Tribolium castaneum: one gene and its partner. The protein of the gene in region 2 purifies or fractionates together with the protein of the main gene of each other region. This does not show direct contact. Links are inferred from orthologs where the notes say so. Each region holds a gene or a part of one and is shown on either strand. Other genes may lie near its edges. The genes, in order: Drp1 and E3 ubiquitin-protein ligase MARCHF5.

Region 1 (11,721 bases), on a different chromosome or scaffold from region 2:
ATAGGTTTGTATCACGTTGCATTTATGCGTAGATCACGCTTCTTTTGTGAATTTCAGAAATGCGGGAAATAAAATCGTAGGGCTGTTGAAAAGATTCGTATTGTCTTTAAAAAAAGAAACTAAACTACAAGCAAAAAAACTGCAAAAAGGGAAGAAAGTTGAAAAGACTGTTGAAAAAGAGAAATGCATCCAGGAAGAGGAAAATGATGTGGAAGAGGACAGTGATGAAGAAATTGTGATTGAAGAAGAAGCTCTGAGCGATGAAGAAATTGTGAGTGACGAAGAAGCTCTGAGTGATGAAGAAATTGTGAGTGAGGAAGAAGCTCTTAGTGATGAGGAAATTGTGAGTGAGGAAGAAGCTCTGAATGATGAGGAAATTGTAAGTGAAGAAGAAGAAGAAGCTCTGAATGATGAAGAAATTGTGGATAAGCAAAATGAAGAATCTAAAGAAAATATCTCCGATAGCGAGGACGAGGATAGTGCTAGTACGTTACCAGTTTATTGTTGGGGTAAATATTTAGAAACATATCAATTTTCAGAACCAAAAATTACAACTCTTGATCAGTCAAGCAATGCAGAAACACCAAAGGAATCTGTTTTATCCGGCGCGCAGTCATTTTATTCGACTGAAGATAATAATTTGAAAGAAGAATCTTCTGAAGAAGAAGAAGAGGTTTGTAAAAACAAAGAGAGTGAAATACTCTTAACAATACATTGTTACAGGAGATTGACCAAAGTAAGAAGAAGAAAAAACTTACGCCAGCAGAAAGAGCAGAAATAGCAAAGAAAGAAGAAGAAAGGATTTCCAAAATAGAAAATGAATTAGCTGATTCAACGATTCCACCACAGAGCGCAGAACAGTTTGATCGACTGTTACTAGCCAATCCTAATTCGTCGAAATTATGGTTGCAGTACATGTCTATGCATATCGCGGTAATTTTTTTAGATACTCTACATACTTTACAATAGACCAAATTTTAATTTTTAGACAACTGAATTGGACAAGGCTAGAGCTGTAGGAAAACGCGCTCTGGATACAATAAATATGACGCTAGTTAAAGAGAAGTATAATGTTTGGATCGCTTTACTTAATCTAGAAAACATGTACGGAACCAAGGTGAGTAAATCAAACACATGACACGATTTTAAGCTGTTTCTTGTGTTAGGAATCGTTTGATAAAACTTTCGAAGAGGCAGTTAGATGTAACGACTCGTTGGAAATATATTTGAACGTTATACAAATGCTTGCAACATCTGGGAAGTTGCAAGAAATGGAGGAAAAAATTAAGAAAGTTAGGGCCAAGGAAAAACAAAACACTAAAATGTGGTTGGAAATAAGCCGAATTTATTATTCTTTGGGGCAATTCAAAGAGGCCCGAAATGTGAAAGAATCGGCATTGAAGTCAATTCTGGACAAAAAACGACGTAAGTTCGTTACGCTGTGTTAAAGTAATGTTACTGTACCTTATTTTCAGAATTTGATCTCATTGTGAAATTCGGAATAATGGAATTTCAGTTGGGTGAGTTAGATCAAGCGGTTGCTAATTTCGAAACAATTTTGGATACTTACCCAAGTAAGGTCAATATTTGGATTATTTACGTTGACCAGTTGGTACGAAAAAAGAACTTTGAGGCCGCAAGGTAAATTAGAAATCTCCAATGTAACGTATCTGTAGGATTTTTTCGTATTTATTTTTTTAGGAAAACTCTTGAAAGAGCCATTAGTCAAAAGTTTGCCATGAAGACTATGAAAGTGCTGTTCCAAAAGTTCATTAGTTTTGAAGAACAGTATGGGAGTCCCGAATCGGTAGAAGACATCAAAAGTAAGGCAAAAGAATATCTTGCTTCGTTGGGTGTCAAATGATACAAAGTATAAAATAATTAAGCAATTTAAATATGAAATAAACAGCAATTCATTTTATAACTAATTTGAGAATCTACCTACCCCTCCTTGACTTTAATTTTTTTTTTTTTTCATAATTTAATTACGTTCAAATGTTTGGGGTGTAAGACTTCCATAAAGATGAGTTTATTTTTATTGTTTTAGAACGTTAAAATAATTTTGTACAAGTTACAAAGATGAGCATCTGTTGTTAAAATTAAACTAGAAAATATAAAATTATAATAGACTAGTTATAAAGGCATATTGCCGTGCTTTTTTGGAGGGTTCACTAGTTTTTTTGTTGCTTGGACTTCCAAGTCTCTGCAAAGTCGCCATCTAGTTGTACGTGGCTCAATAATGTCATCGATAAAGCCTGAAAACATTAATTAATTGAGCGGTCTGTTAATAAAAAAATGTTCGTTTTTTACAGCTGTAAACGTACCTTTTTGGGCAGCAGGTATAGGGCTGTTGAACATTTCTGTATATTCATTAACATATTCTGTAACATCGCTTTCATTTCGGTGCAAAATTGATACAGCGCCCTTAGCTCCCATCACGGCAATTTCAGCTGATGGCCAAGCATAATTAACGTCTCCTCTCAAATGTTTGGATGACATTACATCATAAGCTCCACCATAAGCCTAACACATATTTCTTGTCAACTGTTAACTAAACATTTGTTACAAACTTTTCTGACAATCACGGTGAGTTTGGGAACTGTAGCTTCAGCATAAGCGTACAATAACTTCGCTCCGTGTCTGATAATTCCCGCATGCTCCTGAGAAATTCCTGGCAGAAAGCCTGGGACGTCAACTAAAGTAATAATCGGCAAATTGAACGCATCACAGAAACGCACAAATCGCGCCGCTTTTACGGACGCGTTAATGTCCAAACAACCTGAAGTTATTTACTTCATTTGTACTGTATTAAGTACTAATTAAAATTAGTTCATAAAGTGTTACTTTTATGGTAAAAACCACATTTTATGAACTACCAATTTACCAGCGGCGACTTTTGGTTGATTTCCAACGAAGCCGACAGATCTGCCATTCATTCGTGCAAATCCAACCACAATATTTTTAGCATAATTTGGCATTATCTCAAAAAATTCTCTTTCGTCCACTATGCAGTGGATTATGTCCAGCATGTCATAGGGAGCGCTAGGTTCTAGCGGAATTATTGAGTCCAGAGCCAGGACATCTAAGTCACTAGAATTTAAAATAATTTAAAGTAAAATACTACGGCCTTACTAAGGTATCGACATTTTTTTGTAAACATTTTTATCTAGAACGCTAATTTTTCGTAATTTATTTCCGGTTTACATCAAGATAATCTTATTGCAACATTTATCACGTAATATGATTAAGTGATTAAATAATTGTATTAACCTTCGATCGTCGCAAATCCTAATAGGTGCCGGGTGATTACGTGACTGAGGTAGATAAGTTAAAAAATGTCTTAATTGCAAGAGAGCGTCAATATCATTTTTAAATGACTTATGTGCATTTCCCGATATTGTTGTATGTGTTCGGGCACCACCTAATTCCTCTCTAGTGACTTCTTCGTTATTCACTGACTAGAAATGATATCAAAGCGTATAAAAAATACTTTGTTTAAACAATTTACTTTGATCACATCAGGGCCTGTAACAAACAGAAACGAAGTGTCTTCTACCATAAACACAAAATCTGTGAGCGCCGGTGAATAAACAGCGCCTCCAGCACATGGACCCATAATTAGTGATATCTGACAAAAAAATAATTATCTTAAATACAACGTAATTAATTAACCTGGGGAACAACTCCGGAGGCCAAAACATTTCTCTGGAATATATCAGCATATCCAGATAACGATTCTACGCCTTCTTGTATACGCGCGCCTCCGCAGTCATTCAGTCCAATAATTGGGGCACCGTTTACTATTGCTTTGTCCATCATTTTACAAATTTTCCTCGCATGGACACTCGAAAGACTTCCACCAAACACGGTAAAGTTTTGACTAAATATGTATACTGGGCGTCCATTAACCAAGCCATGACCTGTAACTACAGAATCGCCTGGAAACTATGTTAATAAATGAAAAGCTGTTGCAGTTTTTCCTGTGTTACTTTTTGTTTGTCCATTCCAAAATTTGTGCAAGTGTGTTCTACAAACATATCGTATTCCACAAAACTGTTGTCGTCAAGAAATAAGTGAATACGCTCGCGTGCTGTTAGTTTTCCCTATAAAATGATTAAATTGTTACGTGGACACTGCTCTCAAGCCATTGTAATTTTTTTAATTTTTTGCTCTAATGCCGAGGTAAGTACGCAACTCAACGGAAATTGAACAGTAATCGCATGCAAATAAATATTAGGAGATTCTTTAAAACAAGAAATTATGGACCTGTTATTACAATATAAAAGCACTGACCTTCTTATGTTGTTCATCGATTTTATTTAGCCCACCTCCTAAAAGAGCTTGGTTTTTGATTTGATTTATTTGTTCAGCAACCTTAGTTTTATAAGCCACATTTGTGGCACTTTTTGAACCATACCTCACAATATTTTTTGTTGTTTTTGATAATTTAAAATTCTTTAGAAAATTGGCAGACATTTTATTCTTTCACAAGTTTAGCAGCTGATACCTCGTCAATAAACAATATATTTGAGATAAGAAGAACGCAGTTTTTACCAGTTTAACGAATTCCATTAAGATTCCATTAAGGATAATTACAATAATTAAATCGTTTGATAATTTTTTGCAAGCGACTTTTTTCTCAAAACTGGATTACTTTTTTAACATTTTTTAAAGTTTCTCCCCATACAATTTGCGGAGTGTTAACATTGATTGAGTAATAAAATACATGACTATTTTGAAAGTAGTTTTTTTGCAACATTTTTTGTTTTAAACTTGGTTCAATTCTCTTAAATATTTCGATAACACGTAAGTATTTGAATATAACGCCACACTGTGCCGCTAAAATTTAATTTGAAATAAGTGTGAGGATACCAACAGAATACCAGTAAAACAACCAACAATGTCACCAAAACTAAACTGACACAAAAAATCTGATTGTCCGCTTTTCAGTTGTGGATTTAACGTTCAGAGCAATTCGTTTATTAAAATTAACGCCCAGTTTTATATTGAGTGTTGTGTGATTTTAAACGATGCTGGTATAGCTACCAGTCTGTTTAAGATTGATAGTTTAAAAACTAGCTCGCAGTATTACGGTGACGATAGCACTTTGGAAAGAGCTAGCACCATGAAATTTCCAGCGGACCAGTCAAATCACGGATGTGCGTTTTCAGCACTTTGCGACGTTGCTACGTTTCTCACAAATTATAAGAAAATAAATTATTTACTCATTTTCTTTTAAAATTCAAGTGTATTGTTATTAAAAAAAATAAAGTAAATGCAATTTCAAACTTGTTGTATCTTTGAAAGCAATGGGGGATGTAGATAGTTTACTAGTTGACACAAAAAGGTGAAACCGCCTAATAAAGGCAAAACAAAAACGAGGAGGGCATGCTACCCAATTATTTAGGGGGCAGATTCCACCTAAATAAGATAATTATTCGTTAATTTCTTCTTCAAAAACATTATTTGAAAAAAAAAGTTAATAGAACGACATACTAATTCAAACAGAGGGTTAGATGTCTTCCCAAACTTTTAGAGGATTGAAATTTTCAAGAAAGGTAGGTATTTAATGGGCTTTCATGTGGAATGGGTTAAATGCGTCGACAAAAAGAAATAGTACTAGAAAAAAATATTTAATATTATTAATAAAATGTTGACATATTTCAAACTAAGGGTTGGATGTCTTCCCAAACTTTTAGAGGGTTGAAATTTTCAGGAAAGGTAGAGTATTTAATGGGCTTTCATGTGGAATGGGTTAAATGCGTCGACAAAAAGAAATAGTACTAAAAAAAATATTTAATATTATTAATAAAATGTTGACATATTTCAAACTAAGGGTTAGATGTCTTCTTAAACTTTTAGAGGGTTGAAATTTTCAGGAAAGGTAGAGTATTTAATGGGCTTTCATGTGGAATGGGTTAAATGCGTCGACAAAAAGAAATAGTACTAGAAAAAAATATTTAATATTATTAATAAAATGTTGACATATTTCAAACTAAGGGTTGGATGTCTTCCCAAACTTTTAGAGGGATGAAATTTTCAGGAAAGGTAGAGTATTTAATGGGCTTTCATGTGGAATGGGTTAAATGCGTCGACAAAAAGAAATAGTACTAGAAAAAAATATTTAATATTATTAATAAAATGTTGACATATTTCAAACTAAGGGTTGGATGTCTTCCCAAACTTTTAGAGGGATGAAATTTTAAGGAAAGGTAGAGTATTTAATGGGCTTTCATGTGGAATGGGTTAAATGCGTCGACAAAAAGAAATAGTACTAAAAAAATATTTAATATTATTAATAAAATGTTGACATATTTCAAACTAAGGGTTGGATGTCTTCCCAAACTTTTAGAGGGATGAAATTTTCAGGAAAGGTAGAGTATTTAATGGGCTTTCATGTGGAATGGGTTAAATGCGTCGACAAAAATGGAAAGTTAATTTTGTAAGACATAAAAAAGCCAGTTGAAGCCAGTTTTGCACTTTTATGTCAATCAAATTACAATTCGTCCGAAATTCTGTATTTGTAATTATTATTTTTTATAATAATTATAATGCTTATCTCTTTCTTGGCAGCGACCTTGTGATAAGTATCTGGGTAATAATAATAAAATCACAATTCGTGCATTTTGATAAATTATAAATTTTTGAAGAACTGCTTTTCTCGTAGGTACCTTAAAACGAAAATTAGTTTATTGAAGTCGTGTTAATGAGCCGATTTTTACGAGATAAAAAGGTAAAAAGGGTATACCGATTATTTGGAAAACATTTTATTGGTCTACTTAGAATCATCCCGGCTTCCCGGCTACGCGGTATTTTCTTAGAATTTAGAGTAATCGTCTGCTACCTTATCTCTGTCTGCTATAACGAGTTATACCGATTCTCGATTCATCTGAATTTGCAGTTATTGCATGGCTTTGGTGATAGCAGGTGTATTTTGCTGAGCTTTTGCGCGAATTAATTTTGTAAGAACCTTTTTGCTTTTCGGAATCTTTTCTTTTGTTTTTAGTTTATTGGTTTTGTTTTCAGCATTTATAGTCGTTAGTTTTAGAATTTTTAGATTTTTTAGTTTTTGAATTTTTGGGTTTTTTTAGTTTTAGAATTTTTAGTTTTTAGTTTTTTATTATTATTTTTGTTGTCTACTTTAAAAAATGCCCAAGAATTTTGATTTCAAGGAATTAGCCGATTTTATCAAAAGTTTGGCTCCTAATACATCACTTACATACATCGCAAATCTACCTTTAAGTGATCGGATTATTCATGAATCTTCTATTTACATGTTCCGCCTTTCTAAACCTAGCAAACGAAGGTTAAACGATTGTAAAAATCGTATTAAGAAAATTTTGTCGCGGAACGAAGGAAACATAAAACAGTTTTTCCATAAAAAAATCGTCGAATCCAAAATCATTTCTAATAGTCCCGTTTTTTTTGATAATCATTACACTACTGAAAAAAATGATTTTTCAATTAACTCACCAGAATCCACCAATCAGTTTTCTTCTTTCGATAATTACAATGATTTCCATATTACCGATTTTTCAGTGAATGACGTTCCAAATTCAATAAAAAATTTATATAACCAACCTAATAAATCAAAATTTACTCTTTTGCCAGAAAATTCACAAAATGATATATCAATAAAACGTTTAAAACCAATGTCTTTTAAAAATTGTAATATTAAAGAAGGCACTTTTTCACTAAGTTATGAACAATTTAATGACATTAAATTTAATAATTCTTTAATTAACTATCAAATTACTGTGAGGAAGAAATTTGCAACAGTTAATAATATTTGTCCTCTTAATTTTAAAAAACACCAATCAGACAAGAAAGGAAAAAAATTTACAATTTATGCATATTGTGCACATGAAAATTGTAAAGTGTTTATCATTAAATTGTCGCCAGAAAAACATGATATTATTGGAACCGTTTTTAGTAATACACTAAATTATCGGCACGATAACCAAAAAAGGACAACTTTTGTGAGAAATTTTGAAAGACAGCTATTAGGAAATAAATTGCAGACATCGACTCCATTCATGACACGAGTTCGGGATACAAATTTTGTTCCCTCGGATCAAATTCGCGCAGGAAATTATGATAATATAAAATCCAAACATGTGTACAAAAAAATCAAGTCACAGACTCTTTCTAAATTAGATAGAGATACAGACGAATTTTTCGATCTTATAAAAATGTCGAGAGAAAACCGCCAGTATATTTATCGCGTTTTTGAGCCCCTAACAGTGTATTTATTTAGTATTGAACAGTTAGAAGTTATTAAACATGCACTGTCTCAAACAAATAATGGGTTTATAGTTTTACATTTAGATGCAACCGGAAGTGTCGTCCATTCTCCCCCTGAGACGAAAAAACGTGTTTATTATTACGCTGGAGTGGTACACATCAAAGATAAAGAACTTGTTTGTCCTGTTTTCGAAATGATAACTTCCGAACATGATGGTTATTCTATTGGTTCATGGTTACAGGCTTTTGAATCATTTATTGTTAAAAGTAAACAGCTAAAATGGCCCATTTTTTCTTATGTGGTTACCGATTTTAGTTTCGCTTTTATTAACGCCATCACCACACAGTGGAATAAAATGGATGATATTAGTGTATACTTAAATATTGTATACGATTATATAACATCAGAAACGACTGTTCGACCAAAAATCACTTTAAAATTATGTTGCGCTCATTTTATGAAATTAATAACAAATGACATTAACAAGATTTGCGGTAGCAATAAAACTCAAAAAAAATTTTTCAAACATTCTATAGCAGCTGTTTTTATGAAAACATCTTTACCTGAAGTGGAGAAGTGGTTCAAAAAGATGGTTTTAATTACTTCAAAAGAATTTTTAGATCTCGATGGGAAATTAAGCAATGTAATAAGCAAAATGTTTGATACATTAAATAATAGTAAAGATCTAGAAGACATAGATGAGGAAACTGAAACCGAAACTGAGGACACCGAAATTCCCCATACACTTTATCAAAAAAGCAAGTTTTATAGACATTTTTTCAAAATATGTGAACAAGATAAGAAAATGATTAATAGTGCAATAGATTCAGATAATATCAATATATTCTACAATCCTCTGATTTTAGATCTCATTTTAAAAAAATATTTACCAATTTTACCTCTTTGGTCAAATATTTATCCAAATTTACGTGATCGTGATAGTATTGGAAGATTTAGCAATGCGCCTGTGGAAAATTGGTTTTGTCAGGTGAAAAATAATATTTTGAAGCCAACTGGACTAAGACTTCGAAGTACTAGATTTATTCGAGTAGTTCGAGAAGTTGTCTTGAGTAAATCAAAAGAATGTGCACTTAATATAGATAAAAATCAATGTGCTATCATAAAGAAAAAGCGGATACAAACAAAAAATATTGATTTAGGATTAGAATCAGAAGAAAACTGGAACAAAAAAATTAAATCCGAAAAGAAAAAGTCATATTTTGAAAAACCAATTAACGAAATTCATCCTTCCCGTTCAAAATTCAATTCCAAAGTAAAAGAAATTAAAAACGTAGATTTTTATAATAACAATTTAATTCGAGATGACAGGTATTATACATTGGGAAACTCAGGCGTCAATTACGTTGTAGGATATTATTCTAATGCTCATCCAATGAAAGAACTTTACCTTGAAGATTTCGAGACTTTGGGAAATTTTAAAAATTTTAGAAAAATGTGGCTATCAAATTTTCTTATGGACATAAGTCTTCATGTTTTATATACAAAAAATCAACATAAAGACACTGTTCGTATCATCACAACGCATGAAACATTATCAATTTTTGAAAACACTTGTCCAAAACTTACTCACACACTAGAAGGAATTTGGTTGTTGCCTTTGTTAATAAATCAAAACCATTGGTGCTTTGTGATAATAGACTTTAATAAAAAAACATTTAGTTTCATTAACCCACTCAAAATAAGCAACCTTAATCAAACTGAAACATACTTAAAAAAATTTTTATTAGGAATTAGAGCACCAAGGCGATTTTCTTTTACGCATTGGAGATGTAATATTTTTAAACATCCTGTTCAAAAAAATGCTTACGACTGCGGTGTTTATGTTTTATTATTTGCAGAAAAATTTATAAAAGAGGAAAATCCAGATTTGTATTCGTGTTATGAACCAGAAGAATTTCGAATCATTTTAAGAAATTTGTTATTAGAAATGTCAGATGATATGGAAAATAGATGTTTGATTTGTGGGCAATTAAATTTAAATGTGACAACAGATTGGGTAGAGTGCGACTCCTGTAAGCGCTGGATCATGCTAAACTGTCTACCTCCAAGATTAGCTCCTTCTAATATTTCTGAAAATTTTACATGTTTTGCCTGTCAAAATTATCAGAACCTGTAGTTTATTTCTTTATTCTTTATTCTTTGTACCATATGATTCAATACGGGTGATTCAAAAGTGTCGTACAATCTGTTAAAGGACATCTGTCAAAGGTCAAAGGACATCAAACTGAATTGAAGGTTCCTATGGCAAAAAATTCTATTAGCCTATTTTCACAAGATAATGTTCTTTAAAGTTAAATTTTTCTTTTAATTTTTTGGTGTTTCAGATCATGTTTTTTGACTTTAGTTAGTACAAACGACACCTCTGGCAACAGATACCTGTTGAAAAAAAAACACTAGTTAATGTCTTATGATGTACGAAACAATTAAAAAACTTGCAAATTCGACAATAAATTAAACTCAACGTCATAAGAAACAAAAGTCGATACCGTTGCTAAGGAAAACAAATTAAAAAATTTTAATTAAAAATTAAGTTGCTTGAAAAAAAAGTGACTTCATTTTTATGCTTAATTGAACATCTTTTATCAGTTTATCACCATTCGAGAGTGTGTCTGCACTTTTGAATCACCCTGTCTTATACCTAATTTTTAATAAGTGGTGGCTATGAAAACAAAAATTATGACAACGTGGGTGTAATTTCAATTTTTGGTCTAATAAATTGTATGAGATTTGTCATTAATTCACAAAAAGTGGCGCTGAGCTTGTTTTACACTGATTTGAAATATGTACTTTCTGTTTCAAAACTATAGAAATATAGAACTAAAAAATACATTTTATCAACCTTATTAAAAAAAATCGGTAAAATGCGATGTTAGCATTTTCGTAATTTTGCAACAGGGAGTTATCATTGAATGCCACTAAGGGTTAGTTGCATAATTAAACAACACTGTCCCCGGTCATTCCTTGGAAGGGTGACTGGATAATGTCATGCCAAAAACATCGCAACTAACTCGTCTTTTGAAGAAGACGCGGTCCCGTTCACTATTAGTGGCCGTTAGGTCTGGTCAGAGGCTGTCGATGCGACCTGAAAACTCTGACACTTGGGTGATGACATTACCACCATACCCATATTTATTTATTTATTTTTACCACAGAGAGGCAAAAATGAAAAAAACAGACAAAAGGAAAATAGTTCGTACTGAAAAAATTATTAAAACTGTGTGACAAGTAGTAGAGAAAACACTGACTTGTTTACCTATACCGGTGGGACACGGGGGGACAAACCTTATTGCCAAAATGGCAACGTTGCAGGTTCATAATTTGAGGTGAACTACATCACAAAAGCATGATTTTTGTGTATAACAAGAATCTGTGATACAACTGAACACTACTTACAAAATTTGAGTGTAAAGCCTTCATTATTTCATAATTTTCATACAGAACAAATGTTAAAAGTG
Region 2 (10,922 bases):
CTGATGTTGTTGCTATTTTTACATCATGAGGTCATGGCTATTTTTGGATCATGACGTCATCCTGAGAATTCTAATTCTAATGTGATGATTATCAATTTGTGATGAAATAAAACTCTTTTTTCAGTCTTTCAGTGTTTTATTATTATATTCAAGTAGTACTTTTGCGCCCATATTTATACTGCAACTTCAACTGTCCAATTTTTGTGGCATTGGTGACTCCGGGGATCCACTCGATCAAGAAGGGATTATTCGTGTTGTCACTCTCGTCAACCGTGGTTTGTCCAACATTTAGGAAAAAAATAAAACTTGACTGACAACTGATGTTTGCATCAACATCGTACTCAATGTAACCCTTTTGATTGTCATGAATAAATCTCTTGGAAATTTTCAACTTGACCTAAAACACGCATTCATTTTGCCAACTCTAGAAATAAAAAATACGCACATCTGGAGTATCAAATATCTCTTTGAGATGCAAAATGTTCATAATTCGGTAGTTAAAGGCAGGAAAAACTTCGTTTTCCCGATAGATACTTGGAATTCGTTTAGTAAATTCTTGAAAAAATGCCTAAAAAAATTATCGGAACAAGTTTAATAAAAGATTTCGTTGCCCAAACCTCAGGGATGCAAAAAACCAAAGTGTTTAAATTGCCGTAATTCTCGAAGTGCATGGTTTGGTTTATGGATTCAGTCACATAAGACAACCATTCGATAAACCCCCACGAAATTCCCCCACTTGGGGCGACTTGTTCCACACTTTCCAGCACTTTGATTTCAACCGGAAACACATTAGGGACCAGTTTTTTGAATTTTGGACGTTTCGTCACTCGCTCAACCACCTTCAGTTTCGGCACCCTGTCAGGTTTAGGCGTGCTTTTAACACTTTCAACTTGTGGCCCTTCGGAGCCGTTCTCCAATTCGTAATTAATGAAATGACTAAACTCTTGCGCACATTTCGGGTCGCTGGCAAGGGCACAAATGCACGCATAATAGTGCACACATTTGAGTCGGACATTGCTCGCCTTGCTTATAATCCCTGAAACTGGTCCAAAAATCACCGAAACGTCCCACTGACTCGCAAAAGCTACCCATAAATTCGGTACAACTGCAGTAATACTTGTCGTAAATCTCGCGGCCTTTCGTGCACCCGAAGGTAAAGTGGAGGTACCCCAGGGGGTGTTTGGGGCTCACTTGGCACTTGACCGCCATCACGGTCCGCGAGACTCTCTGCACCAGAGGCCCCTCTTTCTCCGTGGCCAACTGCCACAGCTTCGCTTTAATTTCTTTCGAAACCTTCAACGAGGCCAAAACCTCCTTTTGGACCTCAATGGGGGCTGCCATGCTCTGGCTCTTAATCGCCGCGTCGATGTGGACGCACAGCAGCGCGGTCTCGCTGTGCTCCAGCTCATGGCACTTGAGAATCGAGTCGTCGAACAGCCTCTGGCACGAATCAACGAAACACAGGGCGTCCTGTTCGGGGTTCAGCAGCGGCAGCTGGACGAAGCCCCGGTGGTCGGGCCCCCGGTCGCGCACCCGCACCGAGTACACCTGGCGCACGATCCCGACGAGGCGCACGGCGTCCAGACTCAACTTGCGCTTGTCGGCGTAGTCTTTGAACACGGCGTCGCAGTGCTTGTTCTTGCAGATCATGCCCCGGGTGCCGTTGTAGATGCCGCACTTGGGGCATTTTTTTATGCCCCGTTTCGTGGGCCGGCCCAAATCGGCGAAGGGTTTGGCCGGAGAGGAGCACGCAGGGAGGAAGGTGTAAATGGACTGGGTCGCATTCATAGCACTGAGGGGCTATAAATAGACGCAAGCCAAGAAAATTTGGGGCAACGGGCGGGGCCGAAAGCAAACAAAGTCTGGCTTTTTGACAATCATCAATTTATTTATAACACATGTTACAAGTTTATCCTATGGTTTATGTTTTTTTTTTAAATTTGAATTTTTGATTTTGAGAGAGGGCGCTTCGGTCGTTTTGAAATTTAAACATTATTTAAATTACAAAATTATGTACTGACTCGCATAAAAACACAAGCAATTTTTCATTTCTTTATTAAATAACACGCAAGGTTTTTGTAACAACTAATTCTTCGCCCAAAATTTGTGGATCAATATTGTTTTGACAGATCGCATCCTGCGTTTAGCCGCGTCCAGCTGATTTCTGTCACTTTGAATTTCCAATCAATCGATAGCCCCCGTGTTTATTTCCAGTTTTCGCTCCTTAGAACCGTCCAAACATTGTTTCCCTTGACCTGATGCTGATAAAAATGCTAACGAGTCAAATCGGCACTGTTTTGAAACAAGCAGTCACCACCTTCACCAACAAAGAGCTGTTCTTCCAAAACATGGAGATCCTCAAAGCCCTTTTGGACAAAACCACCGCCGAGGACGTGAACCTGCACCCCCAGTTCATGACAGAGGCCCTGTGGCAGCGCCCCAACAAGGCCCCAGTGACCTACATTGACATCTACGAGGATTATAACCTCACAATCGGCATTTTCATTCTCAAACCCGATATGAAGCTGCCCCTGCACAACCACCCCCAGATGCACGGGCTCATTAAGGTGGTCGGGGGGAAACTCAAAGTCACCAGTTACTCGCTAAACACTGAAAAGACGCGGCAAGTGGACGGGAAGGCCCCCCCAGGGTCGAAGTTCCTAACAGCCGAAAAATGCGCCGAGAATTTACTAGAAACCCACAGTGAGTGTTGTGTGCTTGAACCCGAAGTGCGGAATTTACACGAGATTGAGAGTGTGGGGGGCCCAGCGGCGTTCATTGACATTTTGGCGCCCCCTTACGAGACTGTTATTCCGGGGAATGGGGCACGCAAGTGCTCCTATTTCCGGGTCTTGAGGGAGGTGGCCCCCAGTGTGTTCAGAATGCAGGAAATCACCTCGCCTAGTTGGTACTGGACTGACTCGTTTCCCTACACAGGACCGGACTTGTCCTAGCGAAGGGCTTAATCTAATTTCTGTTATCTAGTCTCTTTAGCTTAGGACTTGCCAGTGTATAATTCCGTTCTTGTGATAAGATAACGCATATTAAGTTTAAAATTTGTCTAAAAATGTTTTATTCAACAGAACTGCTTTTTTAATAAATCTGAAGTCTTGGTTACTTGCAAAAATATTTCGTTTAACAAGTGATCGAGTGACCCGTGCCGTCACGGGTCACTTGATCGAAATTTATCAATTCAAGTCAAATAAACAAGGAATGCTCAACTAATTAACCTATAAAAAATATTTGTCCTATTAATTAATTTAATCAGAATTTCTGTTATGATGTAAATAAGTAGAAATATTGGCTTCAGTGTAGTCTAAAATCTTGCGTTGGCATTGCCGGATGTACTGTTGTTGTTTATGATAAATCCTTAAAAATCCCTTAACTGTGATAAAAGTAATTCCACCTAAAATCGTTCGATGAAAATTCGATTTCACTGAACTATAAAATAATTTTCCGAATAAATTCGCTATCGTAGGCATGAGTAAAGCCCCGCATAAAATTCGCGTCGCTGAGACAGGGCTGCTGACTGGAGGCAGGTCATTATCGACCGTTGTATCACTCTGGAGGACATCACCCCTAAAAACATACGCATTTTTTTCTAAACAAAGTGACCTGTGACAAAAAAAATGCCAACACCAATCATTGCCAACTTCATTTCAGTCATAGGCCACCTGATTTTTTTCTAAACGAAGTGACCTGTGACTTTTAAATAAAGTTGGCAACACCGATTATTTATGCATAGGCCACTTGATTAAGTAAAAAATATGCACCTGAACGGCAGTACGTTGTGAATAATGGGGATTTTGGGGCAATGCCGTCTCATGAACTTCAAAACGGCGTCTTCCCAGCAGATCAGGCGCCCCAAAATCAGGGCTACCGGGATAGAGGGAAGCCCCAAAAGGAGCACAAGGGGGTCAGCCTGCTCCATCAAATCAATCCCTTCCTTGTGTCCTATGACCTGCATCACAGTTATGGCCCCATACGTGACCCCCGTCCAGTAAATCGCACTGGCCGCAATCCCCGCTGCGAGAAACAACGAGCCCCGGAAAATAACACCATCTACCGTGTCTAGCAACAAGACAAACAGCCCCATATTCGGGAAGACTATGATATACTCGGTCTGGCATTGGGGGCACACCACTTTGCCCCCATGGCCCGACTTCTCCTTCTCATCGACCCAGCGTTTCAGACACGATTGGTGCACCTGGAAGCGGGGTTAGAGGCGTTTTGCGGGTCAGGGGGCACGTACCCATTTGGTGGTGCCGCGGCATTTGCACGGCTGGACCCACAGTGCGTCCAAGTCTTCGTCTTCGGTGGCAAAGCAGACCCAGCAGCATTTTCGCGAATCGCGCGGTTTGAGCTGGATGGGGGGCGCGGTGTCAGTGGCGCTTTCGAATGAGTCGTGGGGGTCCATGGGGCTTATATGGGGAGAGGCATGTTGAGGAGAGTGGATTTCCAAAATACGAAAATTTAACGAATGTCAAAAAAGTGTCAAAAAGCGGGACAGGTGCGCCAGATTGTGACAGTTAAAGTCACTAAAAGGGGGCTAAAATGAGGCTGGGGGGCACTGACAACGCAATTGGGGCATTTAATCACTTTTGTGCCTGTGGTACCGCAGAATTTGAGGCCCAAATCGTTCCGTTCATTTTTTTTTACTTTAGAGGTAACCTCACTTTTTATATTTAGGGAACCTAATTTGTAATTGGACAAAAATTCAAACATTTTTTTTTTCAATTGGAATGGATAAATGAAACTCAAATGTATATATAGTAATTTTTATTGTTTAAACGAAATAAAAACTCACTTTAAAAAACAATACTTTTATTTACAAAATTCTAAAGGGGGCTAAAAGCCTCACTTGCGTTTCTTCTTCCTGTCTAAACTGTTCAATTCGCTTTGCTGGATCGAAGCTTCGGCATAAATTCGTTTAACTTTTTCCTTGCGCTCATTATCACTACGGAAAATAATGTCATAACTGGAAAATAATTTTTTTGCCTACCTTTGTATGCGTTGATGAATTTTGACACGTCCCAGAAACGCCTTATCTCTCCGTATTTCACGCAATGCACCCTTCGTTTCTTTCTTAAGTTTATGTAACAATTTGTCACGCTCGGCTTTTTCCCTTGATTGAATTTTACGTTTTTTACCATCAAATCTACAATCATCAACTAACGAAAAACAAAAAAAAAATAATGATAACTCACACTTCCACAATTTTAGGTTCATATAAGCGTAGCGCTTTCGGTCGTTTTGCTGCCAAAACAATGTATTCTAATTTTCGCTCAACTTTGCGATTTTTTAATTGTTGTGAAACGCTTTCAAACAAATCGGCGACCTTTTTCGGGTAATTTCGCGTCGGTAGTAACTCCAAATACGCTCGAATATCGTTAAAAATCTCAACATTTGAGGGCAGAGAAACTAGATTATTGTCAAAGTCTTGAACTAGCCTTAAAACAGTATAAATTGCTCTGATTTTGAAAGAATCGTTAATTTCGTCCCTTTCTAAATCAGAAGCTTCCATTTTGAAATCACAATCCTCGCAAGACTTTTCAACAAGAACTAGAGAACTTGTCGTGGGCTTGAAGGGAGGATTGACTTTGATTAGTTTCACCCCACACTTGGGGATCGCCATATGCAAGATCCCTCCGAGATAATTAATCGCAGTCGGTAAAACCCGCTTCGATAGTGAAGTATACTAAAAATCGGTGGTTTAAACACAGTCCCACCAACCCAAAAACTCACCTCTAGAACCAAAGTCACTAAAAAAATCCCGTACGCGATATCTTTGCCACTTTTTATTTTACACTTATTCAAAATTTGTTCAATAAAAACAAAACACGGGGTCACAACCTGATGCCGAAAATCGGACGTTGTGAACAACAAACTGACCAGCTTGAAAAAAACCAACAACTCCAAGCCGGGAAAATCCTTCGGTCGTTTTTTAAACTCGTCGTGTTTTTCCTTAATCACTTCAAGCATCGAACTGTGGGTATTTTCTTTATTTAGCTGAGCCAAATCAAAAATGTGCGGAGCCAAACTTTTGTAAATTTCGAACAAACGGGCAGCGCTTTTTTCCGACGCACAATCGTTCAAATACTGCAATAAATAGACAAACAGTGTGCCAAGTCCGTTTTTGTTTTTTTCGGCGAGACTTGGGTGATTGCACTTGACCATTCTTTCAAGAATCGTGGCTTGTTGGCGACTCGATTTGTCGTCGAGGAGTTGCTGGAGGGCCTCGTAGGAGTCAGGCAGTGCGAACGTGAACGGCAGGTCGGCCGACGTTTCGTCGGTTTTTGCAACAACATCAGTCTTTGTGGCCTTGGCTTCGGTTTCCTCGTCACTTTCGTCGCTCGTTTCGGCCTTAAGATCGGCCAAATCATCATCGGACTGTTCTTCCTCCTCTTCTTCACACTCTTCTTCTTCGTCACTTTCTTCCCCACCAACAGTTTTCCCGTTTATCTCAGCCCCAATTTCCACATTTGCCTCCCCCTCCGTGTTGTAGCTGAGCATGTACTCAGGATCCGCCTCGTAAACATCATCGTCTAAATCGTCAGCACTGCGGTGCTTCTGAGTCTTGGGCTCAAACCCCCGCATTCGCTCCCGCCGCTTCTCCTCCAACTCCTCCAACCGCTGTTTTTCCTCCTGAGCCACCTCGTCCTCACTCTTCAACCGGTCGGAGACCGTCCCGCGCGCCTCAAACCTCAACTCACGCATGACCTTATCGTAGTCGTCGACGGCCCCCTTGTCGGGCTCCCCCTTCTGGGCCCTGCTCACCAGCGGCAGCAAGTCCTTCCACTCCGTGTCCAATTTCTCAGTGAGCTCGAGCGTCGCCTCCTTGGTGCGTTGCTTCTCAGCTTTGCGTTTCTTCGACTCGGCAATCAACTCGTCGATCAGTTCTCGGTGCGTCTTCGCCCCTTCTTTGCCCGTTTTGCGCAAAACGCCGCCCCCGAAGTGCGCGTCCCCCACAAACGCTGAGTCCAGCTTACCCGACTTGTCCTCATCCGAGTCCTCGTTATCCGACCTCGGGTCGTCGAATTTCTCTATTTCGGCAAGAGTTTGCCCCTTGTGGGTCAGAACTTCGTCGTCGGCCAGGTTAAAAATCGACTTTTTGTGCGCTTTTTTCCGAAGGGCGGTGAACCGGGCCATCAGCTTGTCTTCAGAGGTCAGGTCGCGGCTCCGCTCGCCGATCCTCCGGTCCGTAAACTTGTTCGATTTGTTTTGCAGTTTGTACTCCTGAAGGAGGGTTTCTTTGCGTTTTTTGAGCGCTTTCGCGCGTGAGACTCCCGGCAGCCCCCGATCGTTTTTGTTTTTCTGGCCCAGGACGGTCATTTTTTGCTTGTTGATGTGGATTTCGAACGGGTTGGGGGCGTTTTTTTCGGGTTTTTTGCGCGGCTTCATGGTGACAAAACACGTGTTTTTGTGAGGTTATGCTTTGACAACTAGTGACAAGTGGCCGTGTTGCCGGAAATCGCTCGAGTGACTTTTTTTAATAAAGTGGCCAAAGTTGTGATTTTTTCTTCGGTAATTTGTGTGGTGATACCAGGAGTTTGGGTGCGGTTTTGGTGATTATTTTAGTGGCCAATTGGGCGTAAAAACGGTCTTTAGGCCGCGTTAAATCTGGCAATGGTGGCGCCGGTAAGGCAGTTCGCTGTTTTAGTCGAGAATGGACGAAGTGGACAGGTGATGAAGATTGTCAAAATAGCAATATTTTGACGTTTTTTTGTAAAATTCCGATTGATTTGACATCAGGCTTATCGATTAGAACACAAATGGTATCTAAATTATTTGTTTTCCGATCTACACTAGACATAAATCACTGTGCCTTCACTCCAAAACCATTTCTTTGACCCTGTTGTTGAAGGTGAGAGAGAAATAAGCGATAGAGCGTGATTTGGAAAAAGCGTCACTTTCCGCCCATCCGGCCTGGTCCCGCCGCCCCCGTGCGCGCCCGCCCTAACCCGACCCCCTTTTGCAGGTGATCACCCCGACGATGGAGCCCCGGAAATAGCCCCGTCCGCCCCCTCACAACTATGCTAAACTCATGACATAGCCCTGAATTCACCGTTTGTCTACTCAGGTTAGCCAAAACCGTTAAAATGAGCGAAAGCGATGCGAAATGGGCTTGTGAGTACTGTACATACGAGAACTACCCCTCGTCCATCAAGTGCACCATGTGCCGGGGGCCCAAGCCCTTCGTCAGCGAGGACATCTACCGGCTGCACGGCAGCGACGAGAAGCTGACGGCCGCGGGGCCCGCGAAGCGGAAGTGGACCTGTGAGGGCTGCTCTTTTGCCAATCCGTTGCGGGAGCTGGTTTGCCAACAGTGCGGGGCTTCCCAGCAAGTCTCCGCCAATAATTTGCACGAGCATATACAGCCACTCAAGATCTCGTCGCAGCATTCCGATCTGGCGCAGAGTCTCGCGCGCTCGAGGAACAACAGCCCCCCGACCATCGCCAACTTGGAGAACTGTCGCAGGACGCAAGGGAAGTGGATCTGTGTGGTGAGTATACTGATCCACTTCTTAACGTTTTTTAAAACCAAATTCCTACACCTTTACGTTTCTATTAAATCATACAAGTTTCGCATTATTATATTTTACAATAATTTTTGAGGCAAAAGTCGGACCCAAAAAACCGGTTTGTTTTTGTTTAAGTATCACAACTCGTTAATCAGAAATGAAAAACAAAAAATGAGTCGCCTTGAGTGGTATTTGGAGATAGATACCCATCAAGAAGTATGGCGATTTAATTAATTAATTAGTTAAAAATGAGATTAAGCACAGGATTAAGATACTTAAAGATTTATGTATTTTTAAGTGTCACACAGATTTGATTTAATAGCTGTATAAAAAACAGAAAAACTGGGTGAATTTTGGTTGTATATTTCACATTTTAATTTTTATTTAACAGCCAATTTTTAATAAATATTGTTCGTTTAATTTCGTATCGGTACACGTTCTCTTAACATATAATTTTTTAATTATGGCCTGATTTCACCTGACCGGAATAATAAATAACGTTTTTATTGTTTGTTTGCGTTTTTCCTTTCCTTAAAATACATTTTGACTTAGAAAGAAATACGTTAAGAACCAAAATTTGGACGAAATTATTTTTATTGCTATAAAGACATTTCTTTATAATCTTCAAGTTATTTGTCTAAAGTAGATCAAGGTCACAAGATGTACGTTGTGACCAAAAAAATTGCACATAGCCGCATATTTGTTATCCTTTATTTCGTTGTAATTTATTCGCAATCACATAGAATTGGTGACGATGTATATTTTATATTAATAGGCTTATTATAAGTTGTCAATTATTGTATTTAAATGAAGAAAACTGTAAATTGGAGGTCGTTTTCAACTTTTGTAGTGTTTTATTTTCCTTTATTTATTTATATATTTATTTTAAACTTTGCGTCATTGTTCTCACAAAATCTCTTATAATATGTGTGAATTTTCGTGAAAAAAGGGTCAATTTTTCTGACCCACGTGATTTTTTTACCTTTTTGGTCAGTATTTTGCAAGTTTTCGACAAAAAAAATTTTAAAAACGAGGACACAAATGATAAAATGATTAAATACTAATTTGTTTGTTTTACACGTCACAATATTAAAATTGCGGGCCAACTTTGCCTTTTTGTAATTTTTTTTTCCATTAGAAATGTATGGCACACTAATTTCCGTAATTTTTTTATTATTTTTTGAAAAAAGACTCCAAAGTAAGATTCAAAGGATCGTTGATATCATTTAAAAAAAATGGTTACTAAACCATAAAAAAATATCAGTTCCAAGATTCGTTAAACCGTATTTGTTCCGCATTTAAATTCCATGTTTTTAAATGAGATTTTCAAGTCAAGTCATCACCTTTCAAGATTAGCATTGCAGGCGTTGCGATTTGGTTTGCTGAATGACTTTCAGTGGGCAGCAAACCGTCATAAAATAAGTAAACAAACCATCACCTGTTTATTCAACAAATCCGACATCCAGGAAGTAATAAATAACTCATTTTTTATTTTGATAATAAATTGCTGCACAAATATTAGGTTCCATTGTTCTCGAATGCAAATAAATGCGAAAATAATAATGTGAAGACACCTTTTTTCACTAAACGCCTGACAGTAGTCTAATATGTGTAACTTTTTAACTCAGATTATTATGTCTAGTTTTCTTAGTCATTTTCCTATGTTCTATGCATTTTTTTTTCAACAAAAACCACAGATTCAGTAGTTACGTCTGGTTCACATTTTTAAGAAATCGTAAAAACGGGGTAGTTTTTCTTACTTTTGGCATAATAAATCTGGCTCACATTTTTAAAAAGGTCATAAAAAATGCGGAATTTTCCATAAAAATTGATGTTTCAATAGATAAATAAGCTTAAAAACAAGGCATTTTCTCAATTTTTTGTGTTTTTGGACCGACTTCAATGGGTTGTTTTTCCAAACTCAACAAACTTCAACGACAAAACTTGAAAATCGACTCATTTTCTTAAAAAAAATGATTTGGGAAAATCTGAGTTAGAAAAATCAGGGTAAAAAGCAAATTCAATGTTGTTTTTTGATGTTTTGGTAGAAATACGGGTTTTTGTTGAAAAAAATGCATAGAACATAGAAAAATGACTAAGAAAACTAGACATAATAATCTGAGTTAAAAAGTTACACATATTAGACTACAGCAGTTTTCTCCATTGATAACTTGAGGCAGATTCCAGGACCCCTTGGTTTATTTTTTACTCAAATTGTAACAATTGTTGTTCCTGTAAAGCCACAAACAACAGCAAATTTCTAATTGATGTTGTAAGTAATTTTCGCTTTCTGCCCAAGTTGTGTACTTACGAAAACTGGCCGAAGTCGAAGAAATGCGCAATGTGCGGCGCCCCCAACAACTCTCTCCGTTCGCAAGCCTCCAGCCTCATCTTGCCTTC

The links.
Region 1: the proteins of E3 ubiquitin-protein ligase MARCHF5 (region 2) and Drp1 purify together in Homo sapiens (affinity purification with western blotting, with the first as the bait; 3 studies listed by BioGRID). This does not show direct contact. The link is inferred for Tribolium castaneum from reciprocal best matches to the Homo sapiens genes MARCHF5 and DNM1L.

What each region holds. Positions count from the first base shown.
Region 1 is NC_087398.1:8,855,102-8,866,822, reverse strand, and holds the start of Drp1 (dynamin-1-like protein), read left to right. Parts: upstream 1-4,890; 5' UTR 4,891-5,088; intron 5,089-11,721. Other genes in the region: protein RRP5 homolog, read left to right, coding at 1-4, 58-485, 540-673, 724-933, 989-1,117, 1,167-1,425, 1,476-1,641, 1,702-1,864; propionyl-CoA carboxylase beta chain, mitochondrial, read right to left, coding at 2,134-2,255, 2,325-2,523, 2,571-2,779, 2,885-3,090, 3,271-3,458, 3,509-3,628, 3,673-3,945, 3,990-4,103 and 1 more. UniProt on the Homo sapiens protein: Functions in mitochondrial and peroxisomal division.
Region 2 is NC_087395.1:24,408,743-24,419,664, reverse strand, and holds E3 ubiquitin-protein ligase MARCHF5, read right to left. Parts: upstream 4,657-10,922; 5' UTR 4,418-4,656; coding exon 4,253-4,417; intron 4,208-4,252; coding exon 3,774-4,207; intron 3,580-3,773; coding exon 3,261-3,579; 3' UTR 3,057-3,260; downstream 1-3,056. Other genes in the region: uncharacterized protein C2orf42 homolog, read right to left, coding at 149-397, 446-568, 618-1,042, 1,089-1,788; 2-aminoethanethiol dioxygenase, read left to right, coding at 2,259-2,954; l(3)07882 (nucleolar protein 14 homolog), read right to left, coding at 4,858-4,957, 5,003-5,158, 5,208-5,698, 5,746-7,401; trbd (ubiquitin thioesterase trabid), read left to right, coding at 8,100-8,504, 10,822-10,922. UniProt on the Homo sapiens protein: Mitochondrial E3 ubiquitin-protein ligase that plays a crucial role in the control of mitochondrial morphology by acting as a positive regulator of mitochondrial fission and as an important regulator of immune response.